3 linked regions of the Rattus norvegicus genome follow. The protein of the gene in region 3 interacts with the protein of the main gene of each other region in a pairwise test. Links are inferred from orthologs where the notes say so. Each region holds a gene or a part of one and is shown on either strand. Other genes may lie near its edges. The genes, in order: Zyx, Cdc42ep2 and Cass4.

What was found.
Region 1: the proteins of Cass4 (region 3) and Zyx interact in binary tests that used the Homo sapiens proteins (3 or more experiments, as listed by UniProt). The link is inferred for Rattus norvegicus from reciprocal best matches to the Homo sapiens genes CASS4 and ZYX.
Region 2: the proteins of Cass4 (region 3) and Cdc42ep2 interact in binary tests that used the Homo sapiens proteins (3 or more experiments, as listed by UniProt). The link is inferred for Rattus norvegicus from reciprocal best matches to the Homo sapiens genes CASS4 and CDC42EP2.

What each region holds. Positions count from the first base shown.
Region 1 is NC_086022.1:72,202,513-72,208,471, forward strand, and holds the start of Zyx (zyxin), read left to right. Parts: upstream 1-1,987; intron 1,988-2,120; exon of another isoform or gene 2,121-2,123; coding exon of another isoform or gene 2,124-2,135; coding exon 2,136-2,343; intron 2,344-2,809; coding exon 2,810-3,012; intron 3,013-3,156; coding exon 3,157-3,249; intron 3,250-3,359; coding exon 3,360-3,854; intron 3,855-5,959. UniProt on the Homo sapiens protein: Adhesion plaque protein. Binds alpha-actinin and the CRP protein. Important for targeting TES and ENA/VASP family members to focal adhesions and for the formation of actin-rich structures.
Region 2 is NC_086019.1:212,636,847-212,642,827, reverse strand, and holds the start of Cdc42ep2 (cdc42 effector protein 2), read left to right. Parts: upstream 1-2,679; 5' UTR 2,680-2,705; intron 2,706-3,293; exon of another isoform or gene 3,294-3,516; intron 3,517-5,981. UniProt on the Homo sapiens protein: Probably involved in the organization of the actin cytoskeleton. May act downstream of CDC42 to induce actin filament assembly leading to cell shape changes. Induces pseudopodia formation in fibroblasts in a CDC42-dependent manner.
Region 3 is NC_086021.1:181,611,907-181,617,107, forward strand, and holds part of Cass4 (cas scaffolding protein family member 4), read left to right. Parts: intron 1-2,435; coding exon 2,436-3,731; intron 3,732-5,033; coding exon 5,034-5,111; intron 5,112-5,201. UniProt on the Homo sapiens protein: Docking protein that plays a role in tyrosine kinase-based signaling related to cell adhesion and cell spreading. Regulates PTK2/FAK1 activity, focal adhesion integrity, and cell spreading.

The sequences.
Region 1 (5,959 bases), on a different chromosome or scaffold from region 3:
AAACAATCTCTAACACGCAGAATAAATCCAGTGTCAAATTTCTAACAGATCTTCATAGGAACAGGCCTAGGACCAGCTCGTGCATGTTAGGATGTGTATACCTGAGCACTTTTGTGTCATACATGGTCACACATGCAACGCAAAACACTGGTGATGGAAACATTAAGATGACGGAGAAAAGTGTGGGGCCTGGAACGATGATGAATGCACAGTCATAGATATGACTCAAGACATAAGGTTGACGGAAGGAAAAGGGCATTGAATCAACCAAGACACATTAAACTTGTCTGGCAAACTGGAAGGGAGCATGTGAGGGAAAGCTGCCTAGGTTAACTGGCTGGAAATTTCCGTTCTTTTCCAGCTTGGGACTTGCATGGAGGTAATTCTGTGAACTATATAGAATTTTCAGACATGGCATGCTGTTTATTCCTTCACATAAGGAAGCAGGCAAATGAATTAGATGCCATCCCTTTTACAGTCGAGGCAATGAAACCGAATGAAGAAACGTGTCCGTTGGGTTGGAAACTGGGCTCCCTGGCCTCACTCTGTACTGCATCTCTGCCAAAGGGGTTAATTAACTCGGACCTAAGTGCGCCCCCGGGGCCATCTTTTCAAATAACATACCCAGTTTCTCATCCTAAGTTCCTGGGGTTAGTTTGCATGCCCCTAAAGCACAGTTCAAGGTTTCTGGACCGTAGGGTGCAATAGATGGGGAGCGCCAAGGTTTGGAAACTCAGAAGACAGTGAGAACCTCAGCCAGGGATGACGGTAAAACCAAAGGAAGCACCGGAGGGTTGGATATTGGACTAGAGACTCTAACGCGTAACTCTATAATTTGGACGAAGTTTCCGTGTATAATTTTACAAAAAGAAAAGAAAAAGAAAAAAAAGAAGGGAAGGAAAAGAAAAGGAAGATTAAGACAGTAAGAAAAGCAGACATCAGCTTTGTCAGACTTCTTTCATGTAGCCTGGGGCACAGTCTCAGGCTGAGGAATCCGGTTGGACCAGTGGGGGGCTCCACCGAGCTTTGTCCTGGGGGCCGCTGACAACCCAAATACTCTTGAGGGGCTGGGAAAGGCTTGAAGAGATCCTCAAGGACTGGTCCCCGGAGGCTATTTGGGTCTTTCTAGGTTGTTAGACCGCTCACCCTGACTTCGCCCTTGTACCTTCATTCCTGGACTCAAAGCACTGGACACTCTCCCCGGGGCAACAAATTTGCAGGCGGGTCTAGCTCTAAGCGAATTCCTAGAAGCCTTAAGAGGCAGTTTAGCTCAGGAAGTTAGCATTCCCCTAGAGCGCTTAGGCTCCTACTCACACACTACTGCGTTACAGAAGGCCGGCCTAGGAGCCGGGTGCCAGCAGAGCGAACGTCCCCTCACCATCCCCGCCCACCCACGAGTAGGGTCCCATCTCAGTCCTACGTTCCGGGACTGACCACAGGACACGTGGGACGCGGAGCTGAAGCTGCAGGGAGGGGCGGGGTCAGTCAATGGCAGGCAGGCCCGGGAAGCGGGACTGAGCAGCTTCGGGACCTCTGGGATACTCGCCGGCCTGCACAGCCCCGGAGTGCGGACGGTGAGTCAGTTCTCCAGCACTCGCGGGTCGGGAGGGGGGAGGGGGGTAGGTGGCAGGTCAGGAAATGACATCAGAGGCCTGTGCTGGGGAAGGGTGGTCTGTGCCCGGCGGGGGCGGTGATGCGTAGGGAGGCCGCAGGCGGACCTTTGCAGAGCCTGCGGCCCAGGGCAGGACCCGGGCCCCTTCCTGGGGGAGTTTCCTGCCCGGCCCTCCCTCCCCGGCCTCTCCCCGCCCCCTCTCCGGGCCGCTCCTTGTATGGTCTGGGCGCCGCTCTCTCCCCGCCCCCTCCCTCCCTTCCCTTGCGCGTCGTCCCTCCCCGCTTGGCTAGAAGCTGCTCCGGACCGGGACGCAGAGTCCGTGGACTCGGCGCCGAGGCGGTCATCCGAGACGCGGCTCTCACGCTCCTGCCCGCGGTGAGGCGCGGGGAGAAGCTCCGCAGTCCCGGGAAGGGGACGCGGGGAGGCGAGGGTGGGGTCACCGAGGGGCTCTTGGACCGAGGAGTGTCAGCCCGGCACCGCTCTGCGTAACCTGACGACCCACCCCCAGCAGCCCGGCCTGACTATGGCGGCCCCCCGCCCGCCTCCCGCGATCTCCGTCTCGGTCTCGGCCCCCGCGTTTTACGCCCCGCAGAAGAAGTTCGCCCCGGTTGTGGCCCCGAAGCCCAAAGTGAATCCTTTCCGGCCTGGGGACAGCGAGTCTCCTGTGGCAGCCGGGGCCCAGAGAGCACAGATGGGCCGGGTGGGCGAGATCCCCCCACCGCCCCCGGAAGGTATGCGGCTGGGATTGGGGGCCCCGATTCTTCTCGGGCGCCAGGTTGGGGGTCGGTGGTTTGGGGAATTTGGGGTTGTCTGGAAAGGCTGTTGTGGAGGGGGCTGGGCTCTGGGTGGCTACCCTGTCCTGAGCAGATGTTCTTACCTCATCTTGGAGCTCCTGGCTAGGAGCCAGAACCCTTGGGACTGTTCCAAGACTCCCGCCTGGGGGTAGGAGGCGGGAATGTGGGCCAGGAATCTTCCCCTCTGGATCCGTTCTCTGAAGTGTAACGGGAGCTGCACGGTTCTTCAACCTAGCCCGTTCTCACTCGACCTGCTTCGCCCAGGGCATCCTGAGCCCCTGTTATGGTCTGCACACGCTCTTGGGATGCAGAAAAAGAGTTCTTGGATTAGGGGGTTAAAACAGTAGGCTGAGAGAAGGAACGAGGGCCGGTACTGATAGCCTTCTCTCTCCTTCCTACCCAGACTTTCCTTTGCCCCCTCCTCCCGTTATTGGGGAGGGCGACGACTCAGAGGGGGCCCTGGGAGGTGCCTTCCCACCTCCACCTCCCCCGTTGATCGAAGAACCATTCCCCCCTGCTCCTCTGGAGGAGGACATCTTCCCCTCCCCTCCACCTCCACTGGAGGAGGAGGGAGGACCTGAGGCCCCTACCCAGCTCCCACCGCAGGTAGGGAGGGCTTGGAGGGCAGCTTTGCTGGAGATGGGGTGGGGGACGCCTCCATGAGCTGGAGAGGAGTCTTTAACTCTCTCCCGATGGGAGTGGGACGACAAGGGAAGACTGGGATGGGTGCTCTGACCCCTGACCCTCCAGCCCAGGGAGAAAGTGAGCAGTATTGACCTGGAGATCGACTCTCTGTCCTCACTGCTGGATGACATGACCAAGAACGATCCCTTCAAAGCCCGGGTAAGGGGCAGGACAGTAGGAAAGTCTGGGCCTAGAAGGAGAGGAGGGGATACAGGAAGAGATGTCCACCTCCTCTAAGTACATCCCCCCCCTTCTGCTTCTCCTTGCAGGTGTCATCTGGATATGTACCTCCACCAGTTGCTACTCCATTTGTTCCCAAACCTAGTACCAAGCCTGCCCCTGTGGGCACAGCACCCTTACCTCCTTGGAAGGCCCCTTCTAGCTCTCAGCCACCACCTCAGCCGCAGGCCAAGCCTCAGGTCCAGCTCCATGCCCAGCCTCAGGCCAAGCCCCATGTCCAACCCCAGTCTGTGTCTTCCGCTAATACACAGCCCCGAGGTCCCCTTTCTCAGGCTCCAACTCCAGCACCTAAGTTTGCTCCAGTGGCACCTAAATTTACTCCCGTGGCTTCCAAATTCAGCCCTGGTGCTCCAAGTGGACCTGGGCCACAGCCCAGTCAAAAATCGGTGCCTCTGGAAGCTCCTTCTTCTGTGGGCACAGGCTCCCCCCAGCCCCCTAGCTTCACCTATGCTCAGCAGAAGGAGAAGCCCCTAGTTCAAGAGAAGCAGCACCCACTGCCTCCACCAGCTCAAAACCAAAACCAGGTGAGGAAGCCACAGGCTGAGGCCAGGGGCTGGATGAAATAGGACTGCAGAAAAAAGAGGGCAAGAGGGTGAGGGTGGGGTAGAGAACTAGAGGAGCCAGAGTGGGTGTGGTGATGGGGGAAGTGTAGGGTTATCTGTCCTGGCAGAGAGAAAGTTCTTCTGGAGGAAGTCTGGGACTAGCTGGGGCCTGGGTCAATCGGTACAGCAGCTGGGGTTTAGAAGTAAGAGGATACAACGTTTCCCCTGTGCCTCTGCCCTAGAATGTTAGAGAGGAGAATGAGATCATTAGCCCAACCTTAGTTTTTCCCATTCTTGGGCCTTGACTAAATCCCTAGGCTCCTGGGTTTTCTGAGCACTTCATTGCCTGAGGGCCCATCTAGAGATAAAAGTATAGTCAGCACCAGGAAACACTTGCTGGGCCAGCATCAGCTGAGTGCCAGGCACTGCTCTGTGCTCTGGAGGCTGGGTCTATGGGCTGGAGAGATCTCTCCAACAGGTTCAGTCTTCTGAAGTCACAGGTTCAGGGTAGAATTTCTAGCCTGTTTCTCACAAGTTGTTAGACCCTAGTAAAATTGGGTGAACTTTGAACACACACACACACACACACACACACACACACACACACACACACACACACCACACACCCGTCTTTGAAATAGCTACCCATACCAAACAACGGTGAAGTGCAAGTCAGCTTATCTTCTTAGTCTAGCACATAAGAGCTCAAAATAGAAACAGACAGTACAGTTGTTGCCTGTTAGTTCAGAGAAAGAGATCTTCTGAGTTGAAGGGACTTTCTGGGTATCTGACTGGTAACTGTAAACGTCTGGATGTACTCAGACACAGTGTAGGAATAAGTGTAGCTGGATTCTGATAGCTCAGAATCTGAGTTACAGGGATTTGAAACTATGACCCAGCATGGGGGCTGGCAACTTAGGAACAGCTTCACGAGGTTGGTCTGCCTTCAGGTACTTGAGGACTTGAGAATCCAGAAGGGATTGAGAAGAGGATTAGGTGGATAGAGCTTGTGGAGAATTCCAGGGTACGGATAACACAGGAGGGCTATTTGGAGAACAGAAAGCACAAGGCTCCTAGCAGACAGACTTTGAGCTGTGCTTGAGATGGGTGGAGATTTGTGGCAGAAGCACTAGAGAACAAAATCTCCAGTAGGGAGCTTGTGCGCATTGGAGAATCACTGATGGTGTCTCAGTTGTGTGTGGTTTGGCCAGGAGGACTGGTGAAAAGTAATACTGCAAAGCTTTTCCAGCCGAGGTGCATATTAGAGGTAGGGAGATCTGGGATGCAGGTGAGTTCACTCCTGGGCCACAGTAGTATTAGTTGCAGTGAGAAATAAGATCCATGGATGAGAGCTGTTCCAATGGAAGGGCCTACAGGAGGCTGCAACTGAGAGCAGCTGGGGTGGGCGAACACAAATGCCAGGGAGGCTCAGAGCTGGGTATGTTGAGGAGTAACAATATTACTGACAAAATAGAGAAGTGCAGATGGGGAAATGGTTTGAACGGGAAGAGGAGGGGTCTAGATGTCATTGTGTTGAGCAACAGGCTTCAGGAGCACTTGCCTTCAGCTGGAACTGTCATTCAGCTAATGTGGGACTGTAACACAAGGGCAGGCCTCAAGTTAGAGGTAGCTGACAAGTCTTCCAAGAATTCCAAGAAGTTAAGAGCCTCAGGGACCTTGGGCCACTTTGTGCTGTGCAGAGAGAATGGAGGAAGATCCCAGGACGGGATTCTTAGAAGTGGATGATGTGACCTTGGGAACTTCATGTAGGTTTAGGGAGCATGACTTAGATAAGCAGGGGTTCAACTCTTAGGACTTTGTAAGGACTTCGTTAGGACTATTTGGACCATATATGGTGGTGACAGAGGTTGAATGAATAATTGGTGGAAACATGGAAGTTGGTAGTGTAGCCTGATCTCAAAGTTTAGCCGTGAAGTTGAGTATGGTGGTCTGTAAGATACAGAACATGGAAAGTTGAGGCAGGAGGATTACTAAGAGTTCCAGTCAGACTAGAGTGTGAGTCTCAGTCCTTCTCAGTCTCTCTCTCTGTCTCTCTGTCTCTGTCTCTGTCTCTGTCTCTCTCTCTC
Region 2 (5,981 bases), on a different chromosome or scaffold from region 3:
CTTAAAGTGCTGCTCATGCCAAGCAGCTGAGCCTGGCTCCCAGAACCCAATGTCAAGCAGTCCCCAAACACCTGTAATAAGGTCTTCTTCAGGTACCCTCAGAGGCTACCTGCACACATCCCCACAGAGGCAGGCATATGAACATAACTTAAAACAATAACAGTGGAGCCACAGAAATTCATTAGCATGTCATGTAGGTCAGAAGGTCAGTGAGGCTAAGGGGAAGATGTTAGCAAGGCTGTTCACTCTGGAAGCCCCAGGGCAGAACCTGTCTGTCTCTGTCTTCTCCTGCCATTGGAAGGTCCAGAGGTCCTTGGCCCCCAAGCCCTTCTTTCATCTCTAAGAATAGCACTCTGGTATCTTCCTGACCTGCCCTTCCCTTCATTTTACAAAAATGACGTGTTTATTGATGTGTGTACAGGTTGGCAGAAAGCCTGTGGGAATTGGTTCTCTCTTCCGCCATGTGGGTTCTGCAGCTCAAACCCAGGCCATCAGGCTTGGGGATAACGTGTTTGGTTTACCAAGCGCTTATGGAGCAAGCACAAAGCCCTGGGTTCTGTCCTGAGCACTGAATAAACAGCATGTGATGATGTCTGTCTGTAATCCTGGCACTCAGAGGGTGAGCCGAACCCTTTCACTGTGCCCCTCTTTCCTTTTTCTCTTTTGACACTGGGTCTCACTATGTTGTAGCCCTGCCTGGCCTAGAACTCACACTGTACACCGGGCTGGCAGTGCCTTTGCCTCCCCAGCCTCCCCAGCCTCCCCAGCTCTCTAGCACAGGGTCACCAGCTCCCTGTCAGGTGGCTTCTGCTGCTTCTCTCATTCTCTTGCTGCTTTATTTGTAAGGGCCTTTGTAATTAATTTTGGCCCGTTCTTTATTCCTTTTCTTTCTTTAAAAAAAAATTACACTGAAAGCAGAGGCAGGTTAATCTTTGTGAGTTCAAGGCCAGGCAAGGCTACATAGTGAGTTCCAGGTCAACCAAGGCTATACAGAGAGACCTGCCTCAAGAAACAAATGACACTGACCTTTGTGGAGGTGGGGGGCGTGTGTGTGTCATGGAGCACACAGAGATCAGAGAAAAACATTTAAACATTGGTTCCTTCCCCCCTCCACCATGTAGGCCCAGAAATGAAACTGAGGTCGTGCGGCTTGGCCGCAAGCACCCTGACCTGATGAGTCTTCACTCAGAATGTCTTCTTTTACTTTAGGGCTTGAATTTACTATACAGCTGAGGAGAATAATTTTGAAATCCTCATCCCCCGCCTCCACCCTCTGAGTGCTGGGATTACAGATATTGGCCATCACATGCCTAAACTAGGACAATCTCTGTGTTAAGTCATCTGAGCGGGACACGTGGCTCACATCGATGGTCCCAGCTCTTGGGGAGGTGGAGGAAACTAGACTTCTTGAGCCCAGGAGTTCAAATCAATCATAATTCCTAGTAATTGAAATTCCCTTTTCCCACATGACAAAATGGTCCCAGAGGTTAAAACGTGGAGTTCTTGATCTAGTGGTGCATGTGTGTAAGTGTAAGAGTATGTGAATGTATGCATGTGTGTGTGTGTGTGTGTGTGTGTGTGTGTGTGTGTGTGTGTGTGGTGTCCGTACATGTGCGACTGGGGATTAAACAGAAGGACTGACATACAGGGGAACTCACTGAGCTCCTCTGAGCTGTACTCCCTGGCCCAGAGATGGTCGTCTTAGGGAAGAATGACTCAGTCCTTCCCATTCTCCCCACCTTTCTGGCTTGCCTGACATACTCCCCAACCCTAGCTTCCCTTCCTCCTATACATATACCCTTTTCACATCTGCTCTCTGGAAGCCAAGCATCCTGATGTCTCTCCTCCCAGAATTGTCCGCCTCTTCTTTTGCCTCACTCCTCTTAGCACTTATCCACTTGGAAGGGTACCAGCCTGTGCCTGGAACCTCGAATTTCTTCAGTCCAGACCCTTCAGCTTCCCTAATCACAAACATTCAACTAATTTACTCACAAAACGGAGCAATGAGAAGTTTCCTTCGGTTTATCTCGGACCTGCCCTTCAATAACTGTTTCTGATCCTGTCCTAAACTGCCCACCTCAGAAACCACCTAGCGGGACAGCAAACTCAGGCAAGCTCAGGCTGAGTCTCTGTTTTTCTCTGCGCCTCCCGACCCGGAATCTTTCTCACACCCTTCATCACTCTCTCTCCTAGGTTAGGGTAAACTCTTCAAAAACGCTCCTAAGTTTGTAAGGCCCCTGCAAAGCCCAATTCATTCTTGTAGAGTCACAGTGCAGGCACCTCCCGGGTCCCAGTCCTTCCGTCAAGGAAACTCATCCAAGGATGCTCAGAGATTTCTCAAGAATTCTTTCTTCCGGCCTTCGTTGGCCCAATGCTTCTAGCCTAAAGTTTTTATTCCAAACGAACAGCTGGCGTCCTCGTGTGTATCCACCCTTGTTACCCCTCGGTGATCGCTCTCAGCGGTCTGAGGCTGAGGCTCTGGACTCTTGGAATCCGGCTCTGAGCCTCTGCAGAAAGGCGAGAACCTGGGCGGTGCCGCGGTGGGCGGGGATGTGTGGGTGGGGGATTCGAGAGGAGCAGCCCGGGATTGGCTCCTGGTACTGGGGGCGTGGCTTAGGCCCAAGGTCTGCACTGTAAGTTCCCAGGCCCTCCGTGGTCCTCTATCCTAGCCGCACAGCTCTGCTGCTTTGCCCGCGCTCCTCAAGGTGAGTTCGGACTGGGGTTTTGCGGGCCTCCTGTAGCTCCCTAGAGAGTGCTAGTCAGGAGGTACTCTGTTCTGGCCGAGATCAGGTCCATTACCTGGAGTCTGGGTTCCCGCCCCCCTACCCATGACCTCCAGCAGAGCTCAAGGCGCTGCGCTGTCAGTCTCGCAGCTTCTAGCTGCTTGTCTTTGCCAGTCGGAGACCGGGGACCTGGGAACATCCTCTCTTCCGCCCGTGTCCCGGCCTGGGCTGAAGGCCATATTTTTAGCGGATAGTGAGGTTAGGGTTAGGGTTAGGTGTCCTCCTATCTTTAGCTGCAGTATTACTGAAATGGATCTGGGCCGCGCTGGGCAGCGTTTGACTGGGGACCTGGAGGGGTCGGCGCGGGAACAGGAGCCAGGGCTGAGCAGCCGGACTCCCGGGAGGGCGGGGGCCTGCACGTCCGAAGTCTGGCCGTGCGCCAAACAGACATTGAGACTTAGCCCAGGCGGAGAAGCTCAGGCAAGGCCCCTCCCAGATATCGGGAATCTTGGGGGCAAGGTCCTCGATAATTGCAATTCTACCCTCACTGTGGTCCGATATGCAACCCAGAGAAAAAGGCCTATGGGCGATCCACCTCGGGTACTGGAGCACGCAGTTCCTCGGTGGGCGTCTGCCTGGAACGGGGTATGCTCCTTGGGACCCTAGAACGCCGCGTTATAGCAGGGGCGCGCGCGCCACCTAGCGACTTTGGACTACAGAGAGACCGCTACAGGAGAGCCAGATTCTGAGCTGGCTCTGTCAGGGCTGACAAGAGGAGATCCACGCCTGGGAGGTGAGAAGGGTTTGGTTTTTATTCTTTTTTTTTTTTAAAGATTTATTTATTATATATAAGTACACTGTAGCTGTCTTCAGATACACCAGAAGAGGGCACCAGACCTGATTATAGATGGCTGTGAGCCACCATGTGGTTGCTGGGAACTGAACTCAGGACCTCTGGAAGAGCAGTGGGGAGCTCTTAACCGCTGAGCCATCTCTCCAGCCCCTGGTTTTTATTCTTGTTGAAGCCACTACTTGAGGAAAGCCCTGCAGATATTTGCTGAATGTCCTTTGACAGTGACTATAGATTCATCTGTTGTGCAGAGGCCTCTTGTTTCCAGTATAGCAATGGGTCAGCTTATTTTAAAGATAGAGGTGAGTCCAGTCCCAAAGAGGAAAGGTTCATTACCTAAGGACACAGAGTCCCAGGTGGAACTAGATTTCAAACCATTCCTCTTGGGCTGGCAAGATGTCTCAGCGGAAGCCTCTTGCTGAGCAAGCTTGGAGATGAGTTCCCATCAAAGGTGGACTCCACAAAGTCTTCTTCTGACTTCCACACACATTCCGTATTACATACACAATTGCGAGTGTGTGTGCACTCACACACATATCATGATACACTCATACAATAATAAAAACTTAGTTTTTTTTCTTTTTTTGTTTTTGTTTCTAGAAGTAGACAGATCTCTAAGTTTAACTGGTCTGGTCTACACTACAAATTGAGTTCCAGGATTCCAGGACAGCCAGGGCTACACAGAGAAACCCTGTCTTGAAAAACCAAAACCTAATAAATCTTTTTTTAAAGGGGGGGGGTGCTGGAGAGATGGCTCAGCGAATAAGAGCACTGACTGCTCTTCCAGAGGTCCTGACTTTAAATCCCAGCAACCACATGGTGGCTCACAACCATCTATAATGGGATTCGGTGCCCTCTTCTGGTGTGTCTGAAGATAGCTATAGTGTATGTGTATATAATGAATAAATAAATCTTTTTTTTTTTTTTTTGGTTCTTTTTTTCGGAGCTGGGGACCAAACCCAGGGCCTTGCGCTTCCTAGGTAAGCGCTCTACCACTGAGCTAAATCCCCAGCCCCAATAAATCTTTTTTTTAAAAGAAAAAACAAAACCATAAAACTTTTCAGTAAACCTTTAGAGAAGAGGCAAACGTCACACCTAGAGCTGGGCATGGTGGCACACTTTCTTTTTGTTTTGTTTTTTTGTTTGTTTTTGTTTTTGAAACTTGAATGTTTGACAGGGTCTCACTGTCCTGGTACTCACAATGCAAACCAAGCTGGCCTTAAACTCATAGAGATCTGCCTGCCTCTGTCTCCCAAAAGCACTCATCACCATGCCTGGCTGGGTGGTACACTTTTAATCCCAGTACTTGGTTGGTGGAAGAAGGTGTGAGTTTTAGGACAGCCCGGTCTACACTGTAAGATCCTGTATTTAAAAAAAAAAAAAGTGTGTGGGAGCCCATTAATTTTGAAGTGTCTATGTAGAGAGGGGGATTTTCATGAACATCCAGAGTAAGTAGGGGCTAAACATTCTCCATGACCAGAGGTGAGCTGCCCCTAGGAAGTCATTTTCTCTGAGGGAGGCGGGGCTTGTCCAGAGTGACCCATACAACTGGGATGCTTTCATCTCTGCCTTCCAGTGGTGGAGGAAGCTCCTCCTGGCAGCCTTGCCCTAATCAGAGCTCCTTTTAGCACAGCACAATTGCAAGCTGGGGAAGTGGCAGCCAGGAGATCTGACTATATGGAGGAAGCCTGGAGACATGATAGCTTCTCTCCTGTCCCCCATTCCTATCACCATAGGTATGGTCCCTTGCCTTGGAACCACATGGACTGGCCTTGGTACCAGAGTTTTCCCTTGCTAGTTTGATGACCTTGGTAAAGTTCCTTAATATCTCTGCGGTTCCGCTCCAACAGCTATCCACGGCAGTAGTGGCACCCACCACAACGTGCCTTATAGCGTTAACATGTAAGAACTCCATGGCAGGCTGGAGTCCCGGGTCCCGAGGTGGCCAGATCTTCTATTTTGCTTGTTGTTATTCCCAGCTTTCTCCTGGGTGGTTGATATTGGCCCCACCCTTCCCTTTAGCCTCTGTTCTCCTCACATCTGGATTTGGGCGGGAACATCTGGCTCAGAGTGGGACAGCTGTCAGGGACACCCAGTTTGCTGTGGAAAAACCCTAGCTGTCTTGTCAATCTAGTGTGATGGAGTGAGGGTGGGGAAGGCCCAGGCCCAGGCTCTCACCAGTCATCCCGACTCTCCCTCAGTGGAAAGGAAGGGAGAGTCACCCAGTGCCTCACACCAGCAAATAGAACAGACTAAGATATTGTCAGCAGGCCTCTAGTTTGCTGTGGTGGCAACAAGATCCTAAGACTTGGGGCTGGGGATTTAGCTCAGTGGTAGAGCGCTTGCCTAGCAAGCGCAAGGCCCTGGGTTCGGTCCCCAGCTCCGAAAAAAAAAAGATCCTAAGACTT
Region 3 (5,201 bases):
GGGGCAAAGAAAAAGAAGACAGGGTTGGAGTCCCAGTATCCCCTCAAGCTCATGGCGCTGGTGTCCCTGGTGGTTCGACTTCCTTCCCCTAGGCCTTACCTCACAAATGTTTCGTTACCTTCTAACAGCAGCACAGGCTAAGGACTAGGCCCTCAACATTGAGGAACAATCCGAGTTCGAACTGTGGCGTTTGACCAAAAGTCAGGTGCAGGATCCTCATAACCAACTCTGCTGCACTAGAAGTAAAATCCCTCCTAGCCCTGGGATTCAGGACTAGGGCAGCAGGTTAGGGATGGCTCTGTTGGCAACTGTTTGTCTAACAGGCATGAGGACGTGGGTTTGTGCTGCGACCGGTTCCCGCATATCACCGCTCCACGCTGGCCCCCTGGTACTCTTGGACCCGGGCAGTCTCTCCCTGGAGTTAGTTCTGGCACCGTAGGGCCATATAGAACTCACATTAATTTATCTCAGCGGTGGCTGGTTTCAGTGTGGCACCATGTCACGTTAGCCTAGCTGTCTTCTAACCCCAGCGGTCTCTCCATTGCTAGTCATTCTGGCCAGCCCTGGCCAGCCGGGAACTCTCCGGTTCCAGTCGCCCGCCCGGTAAAATCAAGACTCAACAAACTGCAACCCAACCATCAGATTTACGTGTTAAATTCTCAATCCACAAAACATCCACAGAATAAACTCACTGCCAATTAATAGAGATAGAAACCGACCACCTAGACAAGATAAAACTGACCTAGACCACCTGGATCGGGATCATCTTCCTCCATCTTGACTCATCTCGATGCTCTTCCTCTCTTCCTCCTCCTCCCCTCCTCTTCCTCTTCTTCTTCCTCCTCCTCCTCTTCCTCCTCCTTTCCTCCTCCTCCTCTTCCTCCTCCTCTTCTTCCTCCTCCTCTTCCTCCTCTTCCTCCTCCTCCTCTTCTTCCTCCTCCTCTTCCTCCTCTTCCTCCTCCTCTTCCTCCTCCTCTTCTTCCTCCTCCTCTTCCCCCTTCTCTTCCTCCTCCTTCTCTTCCTCTTCCTCCTTCTCCTCCTCTTCCTCCTTCTGTCTCCTTCCTAGACTTTTCCCCGCCTACCCTTCCTTCTCATCCAATGATAGGCTGGATCCGCCTTGCTGCATAATGACATCATCCTACAGGACTGGATCCCCTGTGCTCACATTTTTAAAAGTGGATCTGGGGAGTTGGCTAAGAGCATCGCTGCTCTTCCTGAGGTCCCAAGTTCCCAGAATCCACATGGCTGCTCACAGCCATCTGTAACTCCAGTGCGGGGGGAATCTGATGGTCTCGTCTAGCCTCTATGAATAGCAGACACACGCATGGTACACACACATGCAGTCAAGCTACGTGGCGGCTTGCATGTGTCATTTAACTTCCCCGTGACTGCATTCTTACCACAGATGTTCTGGAGTTTTCCATGGGATGATTTGTGTAATACACAGAGGAATAGCTCAGTGGGTGGTGTAGAATGCCTTCCTGTTAGAGATCTCACGGGCAGGCATGAACTCACGCCCTTGCCTTTTTGTAGAGGGGCATCATTTGAGGGTCCTCGTGAGCATTTTTAACCACGTGTCCCACGGGTGCGCTCCTATCCCAGTTTGTGGGATCAGGGGGAGTCGTCCGGTTTTGATGCATTTTGACAATAACTCCAGTGATGTGCAGAAGTTTGTTAGATGTGAAAGAAAAGGTTAAAAGGCCCAGTGGAAGCATAGGGACATGTGGAGGCAATGCAGGGGCACGAGTGGGTTTTCCCAATGAGAGGAAGAAAAGCAGCTCCTTTGCTATGACAAAACACCATGACCATGGTAACTTGTAAAATACAGAAGCCCGGGGCTGGGGATTTAGCTCAGTGGTAGAGCTTACCTTGGAAGCGCAAGGCCCTGGGTTCGGTCCCCAGCTCCGAAAAAAAAGAACCAAAAAAAATAAAAAAAAAAAATACAGAAGCCCACTGGGGTTGCAGTTCCAGATGGTTTGGCATAGCGAACGCGTGACGGCATGGTGGCAGGAACAGTTGAAAGCTTACATCTTGAGCCATAGGCAGGAAGGAGTAGGAGGAGGGGGGCAGCACATAGGGGATGGTGGGAGAAAGTTTACCTTTGTGGCCCATTGCCTCCAACAAGGCCACGTCTAGTCCTCCCAGACAGTTTGGCCAACTGGAAACCAAGCATGCAAACATAGAGGCCGTGGGAGCTATTCTCATTCAAACCACCATGAATGTGCCCAAAATGATGGCTGCCGTGGAAGGGCAGAGAAAGGAGGTTCAGCAGAGGGTGAAGCCAGACTGGGAGAGCCCTTGAGTGACAAGAGCAATGGGGGGAATCACTGAAGAGACCTAAGCAAAACAGAGGCAGTCAGATGTTTAGAACCTGTCAGATTCTGATTGTTACTAACCCGGGGCAACTTTGTATGTGTTTTTTTTTTTCTCCCCAGGGTCCGGGTGTTACATTGGCACCCACAACGGCCTTCAGACAAGGTGGTGGCTATAACCCATTATCCAGCCCTCAGAAATCAGATTGGATTCATGACACTCCAGTGTCGCTGGGAAAGGCTGATGTCAGAAATGCATCTATGACCAGCTTCACCAAAGAGTCATGCTCCAACACCATCCCAGGCTCCTCTGTTGTCCGCATTGGAGCTGTGACCCTCTCCCCACAGCTGGGGAACGCCGTGCAGAAGAAAAGCAGCCCCCCGGAAGAAACTTCGTATGCCTTTCTGACCCCCAGGGGGGACTCACTTCCTTCTGATGCAGGCAGCAGCTACAAGGTCCCTTCCAGGTTTCTCATTCCCAGAGTGGAGCGACAGAACACCAAACCTAACATTTATGACACCCCTAAAGCCATGCAGGGTGTGTTTCAGAATACTTCAAAAGCCACACAAGGGGTGTCTCTGGCAGGAAAGGAGCTGGAGAGAGGCAGAGAGGCTCCAGAGAATTCCCCCTGGGTCTCCAGACAGACAAATTTCCTGTCTCCCGACTCGGATCGATTATCTGTTGCCAGCTCAGACAGCAGGGCTAGTGTGGTATCTTCATGCTCCTCCCTATCCACGGACTCCTCCCCTGGCTCCTCCTCAGAGGACTCCGTGAAGGAGCTGTGGATGGACTTGGACTTTGCAAAAGAGACAGCGGTGGCTCTGCAAAGCAGAGTGGCCAGCTCAGTGGCGGGCCTGCTGCTCTTTGTAAGCAGGACCTGGAGGTTCAAAGACTCCTTGGAAACCAACGTCAACAGAATCCGAGGGGCCGCTGACCGCGTAGAGGAATCCTTGAGAGAATTTCTGGATTTTGCCCAAGGTGTTGGTGGGTTGGCCTGCAATCTCACAGACAGCTACCTTCAGGCTAGAGTTAGAGATCAGCTCCAGACGATCTCTAGCTCCTACCAGACGCTGCTGGATGCTAAGGGGACCCTGGACCGCTGCAATTGGTCGCTGGAAGTTCTCGTGGTGGACAAAGCCCAAAGCAGTGTGGATGACCTGGAGAGGTTTGTGCAGGTTGCGCGGGTAGTTCCGGAGGACGTGAAGAGGTTCACCTCCATCGTCGTTGCCAACGGGAAGCTCCTTTTTAAACAGAACTGTGAGAGAGGAGAGGTGGACTGGAGGTGTGAAAGATGCATCCAGCCTCCCCAAAGAGAAGCTGAGTCCCACCCAGAGCGCAGCAGCCCCTTCCACAAACAGCCAGCAGCTGAGCACTCCCTTGAGCTGGCGAAGAAAAGCAGAGGGGATGTCTGTGGGCAGGTAAGTCAGGGAGACAAACAGTACACAAGGACTTCATCTGTTACGGGAAATGATCATCACTGAGGGGAGATGCTGGCGCCGTGTGCGTGTAGAAATGTACACTTGCACATGCGCGTGGAAGCCAGAGGACAAGCCTGGGTATTGCTCCTCAGTGTCTCTCACTGGGCTGGAAGAGGTTGACTAGGTTAGGCTGGATGGATGGCAGCACCTAGGGGTCTGTCTTCCTCTGCGGCCCAGCACTGGAGAGACGGGCTTGTGCCACCACACCCAACCTTTTCCCATGGGTTCCAGTGGTTGAGCCCAGGTCCACTACTTGCAAAGCTCTTTAGTGACTGAACTATGTCCTGGTTCTTTTTGAGTATGTGTGTACATCTAGTGTGTGGTGTGTGGTGGGCAGTGTCTGCCTCTGCCGTTCTCCGTCTTTTTTTATTGTTGTTGTTTGGGCTTTGTTTGTTTGCTTGCTTGCTTTCGAGACAGGGCTTCACTAGGTAGTTCCTGTCCTAGAACTCAACATGTATATCGGGCTGGCCTGGAGCCCACAGAGATAAAACTGTTTCTGCCTCTGCCTCCCATGCCTCTCATGTCTCTCCCTCCCCCTCTCTCTCTCCCTCCCCCTCTCCCCACCCCCACTCCTACCTGCCCCCGGAGGCTGGGTTTAGATGCCTGTGCCACCGTGACTGGCACCACTATCTTTTTACTCTTTCTTTTGAGTTGCCCGGGCAAGGCTTTGAACTAGGGTTCTTACTGCCTTAGCCTTAGGGTTTAGCACCATGACCAAAAGCAAATTGTGGGGGAAAGGGTTTATTTATTTGGCTCACACTGCCACGTCGCTGGAGGAAGTTAGGACAGGAGCTCAAGCAGAGAAGGACCCTGGAGGCAGGAGCCGATGCAGAGGCCATGGAGGGTGCTACTCACCGGCTCACTCCGCATGGCTTGCTCAGCCTGCTTTCTTATAGCACTTAGTACCGAGAGAGGAGGCACCCGCACACAGCGGGCAGGGCCCTCCCTCACCAAAGCCAATAAATGCATCGGTAGGCAGAATCGTGAACAAAATCTCACATCTCAGAGTAAACTTTTAAAGTGGGGCACAGTGGTCATGCTATAACCTCTGTACTCAGGAAGCTGAGGAAGAAGGTGGGGAGTTTCAGGCCAATCTAGGCTACAGGGTAAGATCTTGGTGGGGTTTGGGGGTGAGCACAAAAACCACCAACCATAAAAGTGAAACAAAAAAAGCGAACTTAGGCAGCCATTGTAATTTGAAACCTATTTAAATTAGTAATTTGAGATTTAATTTTTTTTCAGAAGTCACCTAACCTACAAAAGAAAGGAAAGAACACCATGGAAGGAAAGTCAAATGAAAACCAAGACTTCTGTGGCACGGTAAGCCCTTCGCCCCCCCCCCCCCCCCCCAGTGCTCTGACGAGTGTGATTTTGCCTCGGAGAGCTCTCCTTGGCTATGGAAATCCAGTG